Linked DNA regions of Sus scrofa. The protein of the gene in region 1 interacts with the protein of each later gene in a biochemical or structural test. Links are inferred from orthologs where the notes say so. Each region holds a gene or a part of one and is shown in the gene's direction. Other genes may lie near its edges.

Region 1 (9,708 bases):
CCTACACCAGAGCCACAGCAACTCAGGATCTGAACTGTGTCTGCAACCTACACAACAGGTCACGGCAATGCCGGATCCTTAACCCACTGAGCAAGGGCACTGACCGAACCCGCAACCTCGTGGTTCTTAGTCGGATTCGTTAACCACTGCGCCATGATGGGAACTCCCGAAATTCTTAAACTTTCTGAAGAACCGTACCCACGTTCTCACCAGCCAGGTTTACCAGGTGTAGGTATTTTGTCCTGTCTGTCCCCAGTCCATCTGTCTTTTAAGGAAGTAAATGCTCAGGTCCTGCTCCCTTTCACCACTTTCCTCCTCTGTCGCCTCCTCCCCCTTCCCACTCTTGTTTTCGTATTTTTTACTGCAAATGAAGATGTTTAAAAACCATACCTGTATCGATGGTTCGTTTATTTATTCATTTGGCTCTGCCAGCGGCATGCAGACGCTCCCGGGCTGGGGATCGAACCCGTGCCAGACCAGCAGTGACAAGGCCGGATCCTTGACCCGCTGTTCCACTGGGGAACTCTGATGCAGTGTTTGTAAACTTTGCTAAGACGGCATTACACGGTCTCCGTTCCGGAGCTCGCTTTGCCACGCAGCTTGTCGCCATCAGCCCACGCAAATGGGCACCATGTCGGTTCATCCGCTGAGTCTGCTCATAATGTCCCACGCAGCAGCCTCTTCATGGAACTAGGAAAACCAATGCCGCCTCCAACATCCCTTTCCTGCCTCCGAGTGGATTTGATGGTGGAGAAGCAGAAATGCCGGGTAATGGAGTTCCTGTTGTGGCTCAGCAGTTAATGGACCTGACGAGGGTCCACGAGGATGCAGGTTCGATCCCTGGCCTAGCTCAGTGGGTTCAGGATCCGGCACTACCATGAGCTGTGGTGTAGGTCGCAGACACGCCTCAGATCCTGCGTGGCTGTGGCTGCGGTGTAGGCCGGCAGCTGTAGCTCCGATTAGACCCCTAGCCAGGGAACCTCCGTATGCTGCAGATGTGGCCCTAAAAACGACAACAAAGAAGTGCCCAGTAAGAATGAGGGGGACACGGCCCTCCAGGTGAATCATTCCTGTGAATGCTTGGTGGTATTGGCTTAAATTTTTACCACTTGATGTCCAATGCGAGCCTTGGTCATTCCCTTGGCTACCAGTGGGCTTAAGCATCTTTTTAACGTGTTTATTGGCCAATTGAGTCTCTGCCTGTGGAACTGCTTATTCATGTTTATTGCTCATTTTTCTACCGCATGATGTGCTTTCACTGTTCTTTGGAGAATTCTTGTGTATTGTGGAAATACATGCATTATCAGCTACATCTGTTTCAAATATCTCTTTCCAGTTGCTATGGGCTGAGTCACGTCCCCTCAAATTGATATGTTGAAGCCCTAACTCCCCCCAGTGCGATGTCACCCAACCAATCCTGGGTCTGCCCGCACGCCTGCAGCAAATCCACTTGACTGACTCCAGGTCGTGAGGAAGGAAAGGGCAGTGTTTACTGCAGGCGCCAAGCCAGGAGTCCAGGTGGCTGGGGCTCAAAGACCCAAGCCTCCCAAAGGCTTTCAGGAAAAGGCTTTTTTTTTTTTTGTCTTCTTTTTTTTGCTATTTCTTGGGCCGCCCCTGCGGCATATGGAGGTTCCCAGGCTAGGGGTTGAATCGGAGCTGTAGCCACCGGCCTACGCCAGAGCCACAGCAACTTGGGATCCGAGCCGCGTCTGCAACCGACACCACAGCTCACGGCAATGCCGGATCCTTAACCCACTGAGCAAGGGCAGGGACCGAACCCGCAACCTCATGGTTCCTAGTCGGATTCGTTAACCACTGCGCCACGACGGGAACTCCAGGAAAAGGCTTTTAAAGGCAGGGTGAGGGAGGGGGCACGTGATCAGCTCGAGGATATTCTGATGATTGACTGGTGGTGATGAAATCAAGTCAGCATCCTCAGGCTTCCGTTCCAGCTGGTCTGGGGACTAGGAGCTGGTGGGCTCCATATACTTAACTTCTTCACCTGGTGGGGTTTCAGCCTCTGCAAAACAGGTCTGAAGGGAGTTCCTGTCATGGCTCAGTGGTTAACGAATCCGACGAAGAATCCACGAGGTTTCGGGTTCGATCCCTGGCCTTGCTCAGTGGGTTAAGGATCCGGCGTTGCTGTGAGCTGTGGTGTGGGTTGCATCCTGAGTTGCTGTGGTTCTGGTGTAGGCTTGGCCTGCAGCTCCAATTAGACCCCTAGCCCGAGAACCTCCATATGATTCAGGGTAAGGCTGTAGAAAAGGCAAAAGGACAAAAAAAAAAAAAAACCCAAAAAAACAGCTCGGAAGATGATCTATCGGAGTTCCCCTTGTGGCTTAGGGGTATTGAACCCGACTACTGTCCATGAGGACGTGGGTTTGTAGGTGTGGCCCTAAAAAAAAAAAGTGATCTATAGCCCCCTTGAGGAGGAGCTAACTAAGGCTCCTTGACTGTTCTGTCTGTCTGCTGCTTGACTCTTTTCCTTTCTTTCTACATTTTTTTTTCACTTTTCTAATTAAATTTACTCTTTGGAACTCGGGGAAGGCCTAGGGGGCTAGTGTTTTCTAAAGACATGAGGAAGGCAGAGGACATAAGGAAAACAAGAAAAAGAAAACACAGGGATAATTTTTTTAAAAAATTATTTTTTTACTAAGGTATAATTTACACGCAGTGAAATTCATTCTCTGGTGATACAATTCTGTGAATTTTTTTTCTCTTTTTACAGTTGCACCCGTGGCATATGGAGGTTCCCAGACTAGGGGTCTAATTGGAGCTGCAGCATATGGAGGTTCCCAGACTAGGGGTCGAATCGGAGCTGTAGCCGCCGGCCTACGCCACAGCCACAGCAACGCGGGATCCGAGCCGCGTCTGCAACCTTGACACCGGATCCTTAACCCGCTGATCGAGGGCAGGGACCGAACCCGCAACCTCATGGTTTCTAGTCGGATGCGTTAACCACTGCGCCACGACGGGAACTCCTGTCCGAGATTTTTAAAAAAGGCCTCTGCGTTGGGCCACCCGTTCCTTGGGTCACAAGTGAGGGACCGCATGTTCAGGGCCCTTCCACACTCAGGCCGGGACTGCGAGCCACGGTTGCGGGAGGAGGATGTCACGCGCACTTCGCTCGCCCGGTTGGATCGCATCCGTTGCTTATCAATTTGAGGGAGCTCTTTATGCAGGCAAGACGCAGTCATCCGCGTTGCGTGTGGGGGTGCATGACGTCACGCCCGGGGTTGCTGCCTTCCAGCGCATTCGCCCCCTTTACACCCAGCCTCCCGGTGCCGCAGAGGAAGGGAGACCCACATACAGCCCCACAGCTTCGCAGCGCGGCTGCCTGCCTTTATAGCAGCCCGGCGAGGGGCGGAGCCAGATGGCGGCGCGACGTGATGACGTCAGGCCGACAGAGGGCGGGGCGAGGGCGGCGGCGTGAGCTCGGGTACCGCGGACACCTCCTCGTCCTCCTCAACCGTGTTCCCCTCAGCGTCCTCCTGCGCGCCGTCCTCCTGTTTAGGGTCCTGATTCTCCAGATCCCCCTCCTCGGCGACCCGCTCCTTAGCCTCCCCTCCTCGTCCTCACCCTCGGCTTCCTTGTGCCACCCGCCGCCGCCGCCGCCGCCGCCATGGGCCCGCGCCCGCCGCGCCGCAGGGCCGAGGACAGCTGAGGCGCGGCGCGAAGATGGGCGAGGGCGGAGCAGGGCCCGAGCGCCAGCCCGAGCAGCCCGGGCGCCCCGCGCGCGCCCGCCCGCGTCGCCGCGGGGATGCCCGCGCCCGCCGCCGCGCCCTGAGCGCCTTTGTCTGCCGCCCGCGCCGCCCGCCGTTCCACTGGCCTCGCGGGCCTGCGCCGCGGCCGGGGGCGCGCCCATGAAGATGGAGCCGGGCCGGCCGGCCTCCCCCTCGGGCGGCCCGGGCCCCGACCCAGACCCCGGCGGGCCCGGCGCGCCCTCCGCTCCCGCCCTCCACCTGGGGCTCGGCCCGCAAGACCCCGAAGCCGGCCCGGAGGCCGGACGGGGCCCGGGGCCGGAGCGGAGGCCTCAGCGCCTTGGCCGGGCCCCAGACCCGGACCCCGACTCCGATCCCGACCCCGACCCCGACCCCGACCCGCCGCTGTCGGAACTAGGCCCGCTTTATTCCTGGACCGCTGAGCCGGAGGGTGACGGCCCCCCAAGCTGCCCGCACAGCGCGACAGCCCGCGCGCAGGATTTCAGCCGCAGCCACCACCTGCGGGGCGAGGTCGACTTCTTCCCCCCCTTCCCCTCGCCCGAGGTCGGCGAGCCGGCGCTGGAGCTGGGTCCCGGGGACCCGGACCGGCCCTCGGACTTCAGCCAGACCCGCCCCTTAACGAGCGAGCCCGCGGGGTGTCCGGAGGACGCCCCCCGGCTCCGAGCCGTGTTCGAAGCCCTGGACGGGGATGGAGACGGCTTCGTCCGCATCGCGGACTTCGTCCAGTTCGCCACCGTCTACGGGGCAGAGCAGGTAACTCGCAGCGTGGGAGCCGGGCTCCGTGCGCGGGGGTCGCGGAGGGCACTTAAGGCCGGGGTCCGCGTCCTCTCGTGCTTGACTTCTGCCCTCACCTCTGGTCGAATTTCGCCGAAGCGCCTCTTTCCCCTTGAGAGAGGTTCTAATTCCGGGATTTAGTGTCTTCCCTGACGTCTCAGGCCACACAAGCTGGATATTTTCCTAAGTCGAGGGGAGCGCCTGGCCTGGGGACATGCCCCCAGGCTGCCCGATGGAAGTGCCCTCCGCAGACGTGCCCGCCGTTCCCCCAGCGGAGGGCCCAGGTCTGGTCGGGCTGAAGTAATTCGCTCCTTGGGTCTGCCACGGGGCACCTGGACGCTTAGGGATCATGTTCCAGACGTCTATTTTGAGCGCAGTTACTTTACTGTGTGTGGTTGGCATATGTTCTCCATAGACTCGTTGTTTGGGAGACGCCGAATGCCAAAAAATTTCACTGCTGTTCCTTCTGTGCAGAAGGGAAAGAGAGGAAGCCCAGAGGGAGGGGAATGAGCCTCGGAGCACCATGGTGCATGCAGACTTGAGGAAGCCTGAGCAGAACTGCCTCAGGGCCACCTCCTCGCCTGTGGGGCAGGTGTTGGGAAGGCACAGTGCAGTGGGGCAGGGGGTCCTGCCCAGCCCCCCGGGGCTGTGGCTGCGCTAGGAGGAGGTGGCCCTCACCCTCCAGTCCCTCCCTCCCAGCGCTTAGGAAAGTTTAGGTGGAGACAGCAGCAGGGCTGTGTGTGTTCTGGTATTAACCCAAATACATGCAAATTGATTACCGACGTTCACTTGTAATTTTTTTTATTTTTGCCTTTATTATTATTATTTTTTTTAGGGCCACACCGGCAGCATATGGAGGTTCCCAGGTTAGGGGTCACATCAGAGCTGCAGCTGCCAGCCACAGCCACATCAGATCCGAGCCACATGTGCAACCTACACCGCGGCTCGCAGCAACGCCGGATCCTTAACCCACTGAGCAAGGCCAGGGATCGAACCTGTGTCCTCATGGATGCTAGTCAGATTTGTTTCCACTGAGCCACGACAGGAACTCCTACTTGTAAATTTTTGACTTAGGAATAGGAAATTCCTAAAATGCTGATCTGCTAGTTTTTGTGTGTTGCTGACTTCTCACACTTGCGGACATTCGTAAAGTGGCTGTTCAAGCGTGGATACATGTTTAAGCCCAGAGGTCTTTAAGAGGCATCATTGACACCCTGCTTTTCAGAGCATCCGTCATCACGTTAAGAGCCTGTACAAGGGATCCGGGTGCCCGTGAGTGTTGACAGTGTCCATTGAGCTGTTGGGTGCAGAACCGGCTTGCCTGAGCTCAGGTTCCTTGTTGAGGTCCCGGCCTGGGAAGATGTGCATGTGGCAGTGGGCCTGCATGTCGGCGTTGGGTCTGTGGGACGCCCTGCTTTAGCTCTGGGTTGGAAGATCTTGCTTGAGATTGGGTTTCCCATCTCTTAGTCTGACGGACGGAGAGATACACAACTGATAATATCCTGTGTGCTTAGCTTGGACCGAGATGGCTGCTCCAGGTGCTTTTGTTTGTTTTTTGTTTTTTTGTCCTTTTAGGGCTGCACCTGCCTGGAGGTTCCCAGGCTAGGGGTCGAATCGGAGCTGTAGCCACTGGCCTCCACCACAGCCACAGCAACACGGGCTCCGAGCCGCGTCTGCGACCTACACCACGGCTCACGGCAATGCCGGATCCTTCACCCGCTGAGTGAGGCCAGGGATCGAACCGGCAACCTCGTGGTTCCTAGTCGGATGCATTCCGCTGCGCCACGACCCTGGGAACTCCCTGGTCCAGTGTTTTGATGCCTTTCCTCCTTGCCCCTGGGCCGGGGGCGCTTGGGGGTCCTCGGTTGTTTTCTACTGGGGTGGTGGTAGTGCCCCGTGTCTTCGCCCCAAACACACCCTTCCTCGTTCCACCAGTCAAGGATGTTAAGGGAGAGACACATCTGTTCTTCCCTGCCGTGCTCTGCCTCTGATGGAGGCTCTACCTGTTTGTTTCTATTTTCACTGGATCATCCCCCTTTCTCTGAGCTGGTTGTAGGCAGACGGGAATCATCCCACTTTACAGGGAAGAGTCTGGAGGCCGGAGAGGTGAAGTAACTTTCCAAGACCTTCCAGACCGTCAGTGCTGGACAGTCCTCTGGCTCCGAATGTTTAGGTGGCTCTCCAGCTTCTTAGGTTGGGTGGCCCTAAGCCTTAACACGAAGATGCATCGCCTTCACTCCCACACGGTCCTGCTCACTTGAGAACCAGCCACCTCTTGTTGCAATGTTCACATTGGTATTGGTCCCGGTGGGAAAACCTTTGGGTTGCCATTTGGGGCTGAGGCTTTTGTAAATACAAAGTAGAAATGAGTCAACATTCTTTGTTCTGGTAGCTCCTGGTGGCATTTTCGGTTTGGGGGTGAGGCTGGGATGACTAAGGATTTGGGGGGTGGGCAAGCAAGGGAGGCCGGGCGGGCACTGCCCTCCTCTCTGCTCTCCCAGACTGCTCAGGAAGAAGCATGTGGGGCATGATCTGAGTACCGCACGTGGTGGGGGTGGGGGCGGGGGTGGCGGGGGTGGTGCTTTTTTTCCGTTTTTGGCTGCCCCTCGGCATATGGAGTTCCTGGCCAGGGATCCGATCCCAGCTGCAGTTGCGGTAATGCCAGATCCTTAACCCACTGTGCTGGGCCTGGGATCGAACCTGTGTCCTAGCACTCCAGAAATGCTGCCAGTCATGTTGCGCCACATCGGGAAGTCCTGAGCCCTGGGCTTGGACAGGCTTCCTGGGACGGTGGAGGAGCGCTTTTGTTTGGAGCAGATAATTAGCAGGGTTATTGGAAGGCTGGTTTGTGTGTCTGGGTGAGCTCTGATAGTCTTTGTTATGACTCCGTCTTGCTCTTTCGAGTCCGGGGTCAGAATACATTATAGAGGAGCAAAGAGAAGATTTTTTTTCTCTTTTGGTCTTTTTAGGGCCACCCCGTGGCATATGGAGCTTCCCAGGCTAGGTGGAATCGGAGCTGTAGTTGAGGCCTCACCCCAGCCATCGCCATGCCGGATCTTTAACCCAGGGACCCGAGCCACAGCAGTGACAGTGCTGGATCCTTAACCCACTGCACCACCAGGGCTCTCTGAGAAGAAATATTTTTGGATAGTGAAGTAGTTTAGAGAAAAATGAGGAATTCCACCTCATCATAAATATTTTCAATTAAAAAAAAATGTTTTGCCCATATATGAGAGTAGAGAGGAGTCTGCTACCCGCCCCCAAGTCATCACTCAGCGTGCACAGTCTTGGTTCATTTGTAACGTCCTACCCCTCATCCCCAGGTTGCTTTTTTTTTTTTTTAAATGATTTTTATTTTTCCACTATAGTTTGCTTACAGTGCTCTGTCAGTTTTCTGCTGTACGGCAAAATGACCCGGTCACACGTCCATGTGTACCTTCTTTTTCTCACCTTATCCTGCTCCGTCATCAGTGACTAGATACAGTTCCCAGTGCAGTACACAGCATCTCACTGCTCACCCGCCAGATTGCTTTTGAAGCACGTACCTGCCATATCATTTTGCCCATAAATATTTCAGTGTGTATCTCCAAAGATAAGAATTTGCTTTTAAACATTCATGGTTTCTTTTTTTTTTGTCTCTTCAGCTATTTCTTGGGCCGCTCCCGCGGCATATGGAGGTTCCCAGGCTAGGGGTCACATCGGAGCTGCAGCCACCGGCCTACGCCAGAGCCACAGCAACTTGGGATCCAAGCCGCGCCTGCAACTTACACCACAGCTCACGGCAACGCCGGATCGTTAACCCACTGAGCAAGGGCAGGGACCGAACCCGCAACCTCATGGTTCCCAGTCGGATTCATTAACCACTGCGCCACGACGGGAACGACCATGATTTCTTTTAAGCCCTAGGAACAGTTTGGCTAAGCTGCACAACAGCAATCAGAACCGTAAGTTTTTGCACTTTCCACCTTGAGATTTCAAACTTCCGAGTGCATGAAAGTGGTAGCCTGGGCATGCTCCTGTCTTGATGGAAACAGCCGGAGTGCCCTGATGACCGGCACGTTTTCAGTGTCTTTTGTGTCATCTGTTTACGAAGGAAGTGTTTTAACGTCTTAAAATGGATGGCCTGGATCTTTAACCCGGGCAGTTGCCATTCGTGATCCAGATGGCTGTGGGGTCCGTCTTTCTTCAGCAGCGTCGTGGGGTGTCTGGCTCCCGTTGCCTCTTCTGGAGACAGAGCAGGTGTGGTTTAGTGTAACAGAGTTGGCAGACACTGAAAGGAGAAAGGGGGCGACGGTGGAGCTTTCTAGTCGTATTTTCTTGAACAGGAGTGTGCAGTTGGATGTGTCCAGGCACTCGTTGGCTGTGAGGCGGGGATAGGTTATCCTTTTTTTTTTTCCTTTTTTGGTGGGTGGTGTGCAGCTTGATGTGGGGTCTCAGTTCCCAAGCCAGGGGGAACTGGGCTGCGCTGGCGAAAGCTCCATTTCATCACCGGTAGACACCAGGGACCTTCTGGAATGGGTTGTCTTTAAGTCCTCGACTTGCTTTGAAGTTTGCTCATGGACTCGACCCCTGCCTCCTGAGAGGACTGGTGTTTCTGTAGTCTGCACCAACTTTTCATAGAGCAGAAGCTGTAAATAAATCACAAGAGTGATCGTGCGAAAGGATTGGTTTCTTTGGGTGTTATTTTCCAAGGGAGTTCATTGTAATTTTAAAGGTTATTGTCACATGTCATGGTAACACTCTCTCAGGCATTTCCATTGTAACATCCCCGGTCCTTTGCGGAGAACCCTGCATGTCAGAGCAGTGACTGCCCTTCAGCAACCTTGTGGGTCGTGTCTGTCCGCCGTGGGACTTGTGTGAGGCCGTGCGGTGCCCAGACGGTCTCCCGCTTTTCATTCCTCTGCTGGGGGCACTGGGAACTCCTCAGAGGCGCTTGGCTGCCCCCTTTCCTTCAGTGCCCTTTGCAGTTTCTGTCCTGGCCCAGGATTTGTGTGTGTGTGTGTGCGTGTGAAAGAGGGAATGCGTGTGTGTGCCTGAGCAGGTGCACGTGGGAGCTGGTAGGATGTGTGTGTCTGGATCTGTGTCGGGGGAATTGCTCACAGGCAGATAATGTTCCTTCCCGGGCTTGCATCACAGGCAGTTTGGTTGGCGTCTTAAAAAATACTTCTGGAGTTCCCACTGTTGTTCAACAGCATTGGCGGCATCTTGGGAG
Region 2 (9,677 bases), on another chromosome or scaffold:
AAAAGCCCTAATACTTCCCAGGCTAAATGACTAATAATTACCTTCCTCATTTCCTGCTGCAACTGAGCCTGGAAATGGCTCTTAAGGCAAGCGGCCTCTTCCTGAAGCTCCTGCAGTCGGGGGTCCGGCCGATTCTTCTCATCTCGAAGAGCCTGTAGCTCACCTTTCAGCTCCTCCACCTCACGGGTCAGCTGCTTGGTCTGCAGTTCAAACCCTTCCACCTGACCGGCTGCATAGGCCTGTCCAGCCAGAGCTTCTCGAGTCTCTTCCAACCGAAGCTCCAAGTCCTGGCGCTGAGTCCTCTCCTCCTGCAGCAGTTTCTGGAGCTCACGCAGCATCAGGGCATGGTCACTCTGCTCTTGGGCCCGATCATGCTGTTGCGTGATAAGTCGGGCTTTGGTTTCTGCTACCTGCTCCTGCAGCCCCTTCAATTCTCCTTCCAGACGGCCCCTCTCCTCCTCTAACTTCTTACTGGCATCCTCTAGGTCCTGTTTCATCTTCTTTTTGTCAGCCAGATAAGAAGCTTCCATGCGGGACTTCTCCTGGGTGACTGTGGCCAAAGAGCTGGTCAAAGTAGCCAACTGAGTCTTTAGCTGGTGCACTCGTTTGTCCACCTCACCACCTCCAGGCGGTCCATCCCCACTGCTACTGCTAACGCCGCTCTCTGACCCGCTGGCCTCCTCGGACTTTGGAGGTGGTGGTCCACAGGCCGGTCTGTCATCTTCAACCCCAAACTCACCCTTGGTACTGGTGAGACTGGCGGCAGTATCCAAGCTGGTGGCGGTCCCAGTGCTGTCTTCGCTATGAGTGGAGCATCGATCATCCACAGAGTCGGGAAAGGTGAGGCTTTGGGGCTGGACACCTGCAAGGCCCACATCCGCCTCGTGGGATACCGACAGCACCTTAATGCTGGCCTCCAGCGCCTCTTTCTCTTTCAGCAGGCTTTTATAGGCGCGGACTACATCCTTGAGACGTGCCTGGTACTGGAGGAGCTGCTTCTTCTGCGTCTCAATGGTCTCCAGCAGGTCCCTCTTGCTCGGGCCGCCCCCGAAATTCATCCCAAACTTCTCCATGACGGTTCAGGACGGCTTGCTCTACGACAGCGTTCGGACAGGCTGGGAGAGGGTCACGAAGATGTTGGCGGGGGCTGTGAGCGACAGGGAGAGAACTGCCCACCCCCCCCCGCCCCGGCCGCACATCTGCTCCTCACAGCTGTTCGACACCGAATGTGGGGCGCGGCGGGGCAGCCAGGCAGAAGCGTCCGCCAGATCCCTGACAAGAGGGTGGGGGCTGGTCCTATCCTAGAGGAACAGACTGCCAAAGCTCACCAGAGGAACACACTGCCAGGGCTCGGCCCCACTGTTCCAGAGCCGCTCCGTGCCCCGCCGGCACCAGGAGCCGACGGTTTAAGCTGAGCTTAGCCGCATCCCGACTTCCTAACTCTAGCCACGAGTCAACAGCGCTTCCGGGTCCGGCTGGAAGTGACGACAGCGTGACGCATCAGACCCCGCCCCCAGTGAGCGCGAGGTGGGCGGGGTTAGTTCAGCCGGCGGTCTGGAGGCCGTTCAGCTGGGCCTCCAGCTGTTTGCTCCTGGCTAGAGCAGAGCAAGTAAAATCGGGTACCCAGGAGTGATGTTGGTTTGGTGAGGGCGCCTGATTTTGCCCTAGCGAGGGACCAGGACGACGTCGCACCGCGTCCTTACCAAAAACCCGGGTAAACGACGATGTTTGGGGGCTCAATACTTTTGCCCCTAAAGAGCAACAGTTAAGACTCCCATTTAGACCATGAAAATGGCAACCCTTTCGAGGACAGTATTTGGAACCCAGTAGGCGTACAGTATAATAATTATTAGCATCCTTCCTGAGTTCTGAGGTTATTCAACAGAGAGAAATATATATAGCCACGCTGTCCATCCTAAGTGCCAAATATATTGCAGGAAGATCACAGGAATTTTGCTGTTTAGTCTTTATAGTAATTCTGCTGAATGGGTATTATTAGCACTATTTTATAGAGAAACTTGAAGCACAGAGAGGTTAAGTGACACTCCCAAAGTCACACACAGCCAGTAAGTTTAGAATCCTATCAAGATCAGTCCCACTCGCCACATATCAAATGCTGTGCTAGATGATCACCTTGAAGAGATAAGGTCTTGAACACTGTAAACCAGCTATAATGAAAAAGAAATAAAAATCATTATATATTTTAAAAAAGAGAGAGAGAGAAGGTCTTGCCCTCAGGGAACCCATATCTAGAGAGAAACCAGATGTGCAAACACAATTATATGCAAAGGGGTATGGAAGTTAAGAGGAGCGAGGCCTGTTTAGAGGAGACAAGCCTCTCAGGGGAACTATTTTGAGATTTGAATGATGAATACTGATTGCCCATCTAACCGGAGAGGAGGGAAGCATTCCAGGCAGAGAGGAAAACGTACAAGGACTCCTAGGGCATCAGAGAGCCTGGGTCCTCCCGGGGAAGCACTGGGAAGCATTTCAAGGCAGTAGCTTAGGTTTTGTGAAGGAGGTGGCAACAGATGGGGCTGGCAGAGTAGATGAGGACCCAAATTAAGGCATTTGGATTTTATCTTGGGTAATAAGACACTAAAGGATTTTCATCACAAGAGTGGCATCATCAAATCTTGTATGACAAGGTGGAGAAACCGAGGTATAGAAGGCTATTTTCAGTCATGGGGATAAGATGGTAGTGAAATAGAGCAGTGACAACAAGGATGAAAGAGGCTAATTAAAAGAGCTAAAGATGTAGAACTGATCTGACTTGGTCACCAGTAGCTGTGTTGTTATATTTGGATTCTTTGAAATGTGCTCTTCAACCTTGTAAAAGCCTTCTTAGGAATGCAGAGTAAAAAAGAGTCAGGTACTCACTCATTCCTGGTGCCTAACATCTGTTCTCTTTACAGACTGAGGGTCAGGATGGGCCCGATACTAGAAATCTGGTCAGACCCAGTTTCTTGGTGGCCCAGATAATATCCAGCTGCATCAAACAAAAATTCAGGTACATTATCTTATCATCTCATTCTTCACTGTAACTTGGGACAGATAGTCTCCTTTTATAGATGAGAAAATGACAGGTTGTGAGTATTGTTGAATTTAAGCCCTCAAAAAAAAAAAATGCAGAACTGAGATTCAAACTGAGGCATGGAACAATGGCACTCAATAAATATTTGTTTAATGAGTGAAGGAAGGAAGGAACGTTCTCTGATTCCCAGCTCACCTCACCATGTCCAGTCCATAGGGATTGATTCTAGAAGCCCAAAGGGAATCCAGAACAGGCAAAAACACCTGTCCATGCTCCACTGAGCAATCAGTTAGTCCATTCAATCCAGCCAGCATTTGTTAAGCATATATTAGGTGACCCAGTCTCCACCATAAAAGAAATTTAAATTAATTCCTATCTTGCTATTTCCCCTCAGATGCTAAGGTGAGTGGGAAAATAGCTCATGAAGCTCTTCAGCCTTACAAAATGCTAGCTAGCTATGCATTAAAGGTGCAGGTTGGAGTTCCCTTCGTGGCTCAACAGAAACGAATCTGACTAGCATCCATGAGGACGCAGGTTGGATCCCTGGCCTCGCTCGGGATCCGACGTTGCTGTGAGCTGTGGTACAGGTCGAAGACAGAGCTCCATCTGGCGTTGCTGTGGCTGTGGCATGGGCCTGCAGCTGTAGCTTTGATTCGACTTCCATGCCGCCGGTGCGGCCCTAAAAAGACCCCCCCCCAAAAAAAATAATAAATCCAGGTTCCGCTTTTCAAACTGAGGAAGGAGCTTCAGAAAGGTTGCCTGGTTCGATTGAAAGGCATTGTTTCCAGGGCCATCGAGGCAAGGCAGAATTCTCCAGTATGCAGGAGTAGTATCTACTACCCCACCGCCTAGAACTGGAGATCCTCCACTGGTTCTGCTGCAGGCGTTTTAAGAAACCATGAAGGGCATCTTCTTTCACCTCTGGCGCATTCCTCTAGAGATTCTAAGGTCACTGAAGCACCTGCCACGTTCAAAGTCCCTGACTGGGAACTGAGAAGACAAAAGGAAGGACTAAGACACCTGCGCGGAACTGCCGCTTCGGGGCGTGGGGGGGGGGGGGTTGGGAGAGGGAGGGTGCACAAAGTCGAGGCACTCATTACCAAGAGCTAAATCGGAGCCTAGAGTGGATTGGACGGACCAAACCAAAGCCCAGCGGTCAGCCAGTGAGGATGGGGATGGAGGGCCGTTATGGAGCTTTGGAGGCTTTCCTTGATCCTGCCCGGGTTGCGGATTCAGCAGCCACAGATCTTACAGGCACGCCAGAAACAGGGGGAAGGCCCAGACCTTTTCCATCTCTAAAGCCAGCGCCGAACCAGAGGCTCGCAAGACGGTCAGCTTCAGGGTCTCCCAGGGCCAGGGCCTGGAGGCGGGGCGGGGGCGGGGCTGAGGGCTGTGTTGGGGGCGGGGCCATGGCGGGGGCGGGCCCGAGGTGACGTAGGGCGGGCCGGGACGCGCGGAGGCGGCGGCGGCACCTCCTCCTCCTGCTGCTGCGCCCATCCCCCAGCGGCCGGCCAGTTCCAGCCCGCACCCCGCGTCCGTCCCCGCGCCCCCTCCCCCAGGCCCCGCCATGGGCCTCACGGTGTCCGCGCTCTTTTCGCGGATCTTCGGGAAGAAGCAGATGCGGATCCTCATGGGTGAGGCAGATAAAGCGCTCGGCCTGGACGGGGAGCGCCGGCCCCCACGCAGCTCTCCTGCCCCCGCGTCCCTCCAGCCCTGCTCACCCGGGTCTCTGACCCCGAGTCACCCCCGGCCTAACTCCCCGGGACCACTACTCTCGGGTGGGTCGGGATCTGCAGCAGCGCTCCTGGGGCCTGGGACCGGGAGCTGCGGGCCTGGGTGGAGTGAAGCTCCCTCCTCCGCCCCAGCCCGGCTGGTAAGAAGGGAGGATTCCGTCCTTGGAGACGACTTTTAAAAGGAGCACGACCCTCCTCTGGCACCTCTTACCCCTCAGTCTTCTACCGCCCCTCGCGCGCTCTGAGGGCTGGACTTGGCGCCCACCCCCCAGACTGCGCTCAAGGCCGCGAAGGTAGAGAACAGCGCGCACCTGGAGGTGCTCGGCTCTCCGCCCCCGTCACCATCAGCTGTCCTGGCCCGTCCCCTTCCCTGGGCTCTAGGGGGCTCCCTTGCTCCCATCTCCATCCCGGTGCCCTTCTCCTTTGCAGTTGGCTTGGATGCAGCTGGCAAGACCACAATCCTGTACAAACTGAAGTTGGGGGAGATTGTCACCACCATCCCCACCATAGGTGAGTCCGGAGGCGCGGTGGGGAGGAGCGGGAGCGCGGCGGGAGGGCCTCCTCAGGATCTGCTCCGCATTCTGCCGAGGCCCTTATCTCGGCCCCAGAGAGCTGACCGTGACATCAGATGCTGCTACCTGAGAAGTGGGTCACGGTATCTTTTCATGCAGGATGGTGCCCAGGCGGGATGGATGTGACCGAGCCCCGCCCCTCGGTGCCTTCTGGCTTGGGGTCCCTGCTGAAACCACATCGTTTTGGTGAGTTCCTCCCTTTCAGGACTTTTTCCTCATATTTTTTTCCAATTATCTGCAGGCTTCAATGTGGAAACAGTGGAATACAAGAACATCTGTTTCACAGTCTGGGACGTGGGAGGCCAGGACAAGATTCGGCCTCTGTGGCGGCACTACTTCCAGAACACTCAGGTTGGGGCTCCCCCAACCCCAGTGGAAGAGGTGTTAGGGGTAGGAAGATGGAGGTGTTGGCCTAGGCCAAAAAAAACCTCTTACCCCCTTCTACCCCCTTGTGTAGACTAGCCTCTCCTTATTCTTCAGAAATGGCCTCAGTCTCTTGAGAAGCAGAATTCTGAATCCAGGCTGCCTCACTCCGCTCCCATCCCATGTCTTTCCTTGTCCCGGTGCACATCATTCAGCCGGTCCCCTTGGCTGAGGGCAGAGGCCGTATCCTAGCAGAGTGTCTCCAGTTTGTGCTAGGACGTCTCCAGAGCCACTGTGTAAGTTTACTAGATGAGAAGGGTTTAGACACCATTAAAGATGGACATGGAGGAGTTCCCTTCATAGCTCAGTGGTTAACGAACCCGACTAGCATCCATGAGGTTGCACCTAGCATCCATGAGGTTGCGGGTTCCATCCCTGGCCTCACTCTGTGGGTTAAGGAGCCGGCGTTTCTGTGAGCTGTGGTGTAGGTCGCAGGTGCGGCTCAGATCCCAGGTTGCTGTGGCTGCGGCGTAGGCTAGAAACTGCAGCTCTGATTTGCCCCCTAGGCTGGGAACCTCCATATGCCACAGGTGCGGCCCTAAAAAGTTAAAAGCAGGGTCAGAGGGCAGAAGAGAGGAGGAGCCAGACTAGGGTGTGGATGTCCCAGGCGTGAGTGATTGCTCCTCTTTCCTTTCTTCTTCCCACCCAGGGCCTCATCTTCGTGGTGGACAGTAATGACCGAGAGCGGGTCCAGGAATCTGCCGATGAACTCCAGAAGATGGTGAGCACTCAGAGCGCCCACATTTCTGTGCCGGTGTGACAGATAGAAATGCCTCACGGGCCTTGAATGTGGGTTCCGCTTTGTGGACACACTCCCAAGAAGTAGTGCCTCCCCACTTTGAATTGGGCCCGGGTAAAAAGTGTGAGACTTGACTTTTTCCTGGAATTCTCTCATGTCTTCCCTTCTGAGTCTGAGAAGCCGGTAGAGGGAGGGGAATTGTAGGTGGTGGAGAGAAGCATCATCTTACGTTCTTGTTTTTTTCCCTGTGGATGACTTTGACATTTTTAACTGGAAGGGTACTCTCAAAAAAGGCCTTTTCTGGATCTAAGGCCAAGCTGATTTATAATTTGTGTCCTGTGTTCAGCCATAGATGACACAATGTTCTGTTTTCCCTGCAAATAGACTAGAAGATAGAAAGCAGGATTCCCATATGCAGCTGGGAAAAGGGAGCCTGGGGGCCCCCAGAGACCCCCCTCAGATGCCATCGCCTCTGCCTTCTCTCAGTTGCAGGAAGACGAGCTGCGCGATGCGGTGCTGCTGGTGTTTGCCAACAAGCAGGACATGCCCAACGCCATGCCCGTGAGCGAGCTGACCGACAAGCTGGGGCTGCAGCACTTGCGCAGCCGCACGGTGAGGACCTGCGTCTGCTCGGGGGAGCCCCAGGCTGGGCAGGAAGGAAAGGCATCGCCTTTCTTCCCTGCTTCTGACCTGTTTCTTTCCTTCTCCCCACAGTGGTACGTCCAGGCCACCTGTGCCACACAAGGCACAGGCTTGTACGATGGGCTGGACTGGCTGTCCCATGAGCTGTCGAAGCGCTAGCCAACCACAGGCCAGCCCCTGCTGCCCGGAAGCTCCCGCGTGCACCCCGGGACGACCAGACTCCCGGACTCCTCAGGCAGTGCCCTTCCCTCCCAGCTCCTCCTCCCCCGCAGACACAGGCCTCTGCGCCTGCTCCTGCCTGCATGTTCTCTCTGTTGTTGGAGCCTGGAGCCCCCGCTCTCTGGGCACGGAGGGGTCTGCTCTCTTGCCTTCTGGGACCCACGGAAAGGGGCTTCGGGGGCCAAGGCCCCTTCTTCCAGAGGAGGAGCAGGGATCTGGGTTGACTTTTGTTTTTTCCATTTCGAGTGTACCCTTGGGGCCAGGTGGGAGGGGAAAGTGAGGGCTCCGGGTGGTGCTATGACGTGGCACTGGATATCAAGTAATAAATTTGCTGTGGTTTGTACATGGTGTTGTCTGTCACCTAGAAGTGGGGGCCTGGGTTATTGGCTGCAAAGAGCCAATCAGTGGGAGGCTCAAAGCTGCTAAGGCTGCAGGACCAACCCCCGTGCCCTACCCCAAACACACACACACACGTGCACACTCATCGCTGCCCTCCTCTAGTTCCACGTCTCCCTCCTTTTTCTTTTTTGTTTTTTTGGCCACGCCCGCAGCCTCTGGAAGTTCCTGGGCCAGAGATCGAACCCAAGCACAGCAGCGACCCAAACTGCTGCAGTGACAACCCAGATCCTGAACCTGCTACAGCACAGGAGAACTCCATCTCCCTTCTTATTCTTGAGGCTGGAAGTCGTTTAGGGGCTCCAGTGAAAGAAATCTCATTCCCTCCCCAATTCTCTGTGGCCTTTGCTGAGGCTAACAAGCTCTACCTTCATGGTCCCATAAACCGCAAAACTCCTGTTTCCCATCTGTCTCCCAGCGACTTAGAGCAGTGGCTCTTAGTGAGGTCTGTGCATAATCAAATCTGAGGAGGAGGAAATGGTTATAGGGTCCTGATGGGGTTTGTGCTGTGGCGCAGCGGGTCAAGGATCCAGCGTTGTCTCTCTGACTACTCGGGTTCTATCCCAGACCCAGCGCGGTGGGTAAAGGATCTGGCATTGCCACAGCTGTGGTTCAGATTCTAACCCTGGCCCAGGAACTTCCATATACCACGGCTGAGGCCAAAAATAATAATAAGAGTCCTGAGGCACACTTCAGAAAATACGATTCATCAGGACTGGTCAGAGGTCCAAGAATAATGCATCTTAGATGTTTCCGCCACGTGAAGTCTAAGCCTTATTTTATAAAACATTGGTGAGGCTTTGGGGATCCCTCACTGTGCACCACTCGAGCTCTTTCTACCTGGGGAGACCCCACCTATGGGGAGTAGGAAAATGTGTGTGGGGGACCCCAGTGTGGGCTGTTTGCCAAGTGCAGTTCGCTCTGCCCCTTTCAGTTTGCATCCTAGCAAAGCTTAAACAAAACCCACCATCACCGTCAGTATTTCTTCTTGCCTTTCTCCAGGCTCTGGGCTGCTTTTCTTCATGAGCTTTGTAGGCAGTGAGTCCTAGAGGCTGTTGGCCAACAGAGGCTCTCTGGAGGGGGAAGGGCTGGTATCCTTAGCAGCAGCCCTGGCTGGCTGCCCAGCAGTAGTGCAACTGGGGACCACGAGGAGGGTGCTCTGTGCGCCCCCCACCTACGCTGTTCTCCTTACCCTGCTCCAGAGTCAGCCCCTGTGGATTAAATGAGTAACCTGATCCTTGCGGGTTATCTAGGGTTTCCTCACACTCCCTGAAAGGTACCTTCTGAGACATTTTCGGCCTTATCCTCACAAGGGCCATAAAAGTTAATAGATTTTTCCTGGCTATCTTGAACTCTAAAAACGCTTGAGCTCTGGAGAGTTCCCTGGTGGCCTAGTGGTTAGGATTCAGACCTCTCATGGCTTCACCCTGGGTTCAGTCCCTGTTCTGGGAAAGGAGATTCTGCTGCATAATGTGGCAAAAAAAAAAAAAAAAAAAAAAAAAAAAGTTAAAAAAACAAACACTTGCTTGACAGCCCCAGGGAGGAAAGAGGCGGATTTCAACCCTGGGATTAAAATGAGAAACAGAAGGAAGAAGGGGAGGGACTTGCCTGAAGTCACAGGCAGGGGCTGGAGTTCTGATTTCCAGTCTTAACTCAGCTACCTCGATGCCTGGAGTGATGCGGGGAGGCTAATGCCAGAGGCCCAAGCCCACCTCCTCTGGGGCGTGGGTCGATGCTGCTGGGCCAGTGCCCCTTCCCCTCTGTGGTGGGATCAGCGGCAGCCCTCACAGTCACAATGCTCCCGGGTCACAGAGGCGCTGGGCCCTAGGCCAGCCTCTGCCTGAGAAGTTCCCTCTGGGAACGTCTTCTGGTGGGTACCAAAGGCCTGATTCCAGGCCCTATGGCCTGTGGAACCTCAC

Evidence for each region.
Region 2: the proteins of RAB11FIP3 (region 1) and ARF5 form a complex in vitro, tested with the Homo sapiens proteins (2 studies listed by BioGRID). The link is inferred for Sus scrofa from reciprocal best matches to the Homo sapiens genes RAB11FIP3 and ARF5.

The regions. Positions count from the first base shown.
Region 1 is NC_010445.4:41,278,665-41,288,372, reverse strand, and holds the start of RAB11FIP3 (rab11 family-interacting protein 3), read left to right. Parts: upstream 1-3,374; 5' UTR 3,375-3,389; coding exon 3,390-4,475; intron 4,476-9,708. UniProt on the Homo sapiens protein: Downstream effector molecule for Rab11 GTPase which is involved in endocytic trafficking, cytokinesis and intracellular ciliogenesis by participating in membrane delivery. Recruited by Rab11 to endosomes where it links Rab11 to dynein motor complex.
Region 2 is NC_010460.4:20,693,504-20,703,180, reverse strand, and holds ARF5 (ADP-ribosylation factor 5), read left to right. Parts: upstream 1-4,545; 5' UTR 4,546-4,601; coding exon 4,602-4,668; intron 4,669-5,196; coding exon 5,197-5,277; intron 5,278-5,580; coding exon 5,581-5,690; intron 5,691-6,411; coding exon 6,412-6,483; intron 6,484-6,987; coding exon 6,988-7,113; intron 7,114-7,215; coding exon 7,216-7,302; 3' UTR 7,303-7,475; downstream 7,476-9,677. Other genes in the region: GCC1 (GRIP and coiled-coil domain-containing protein 1), read right to left, coding at 42-1,073.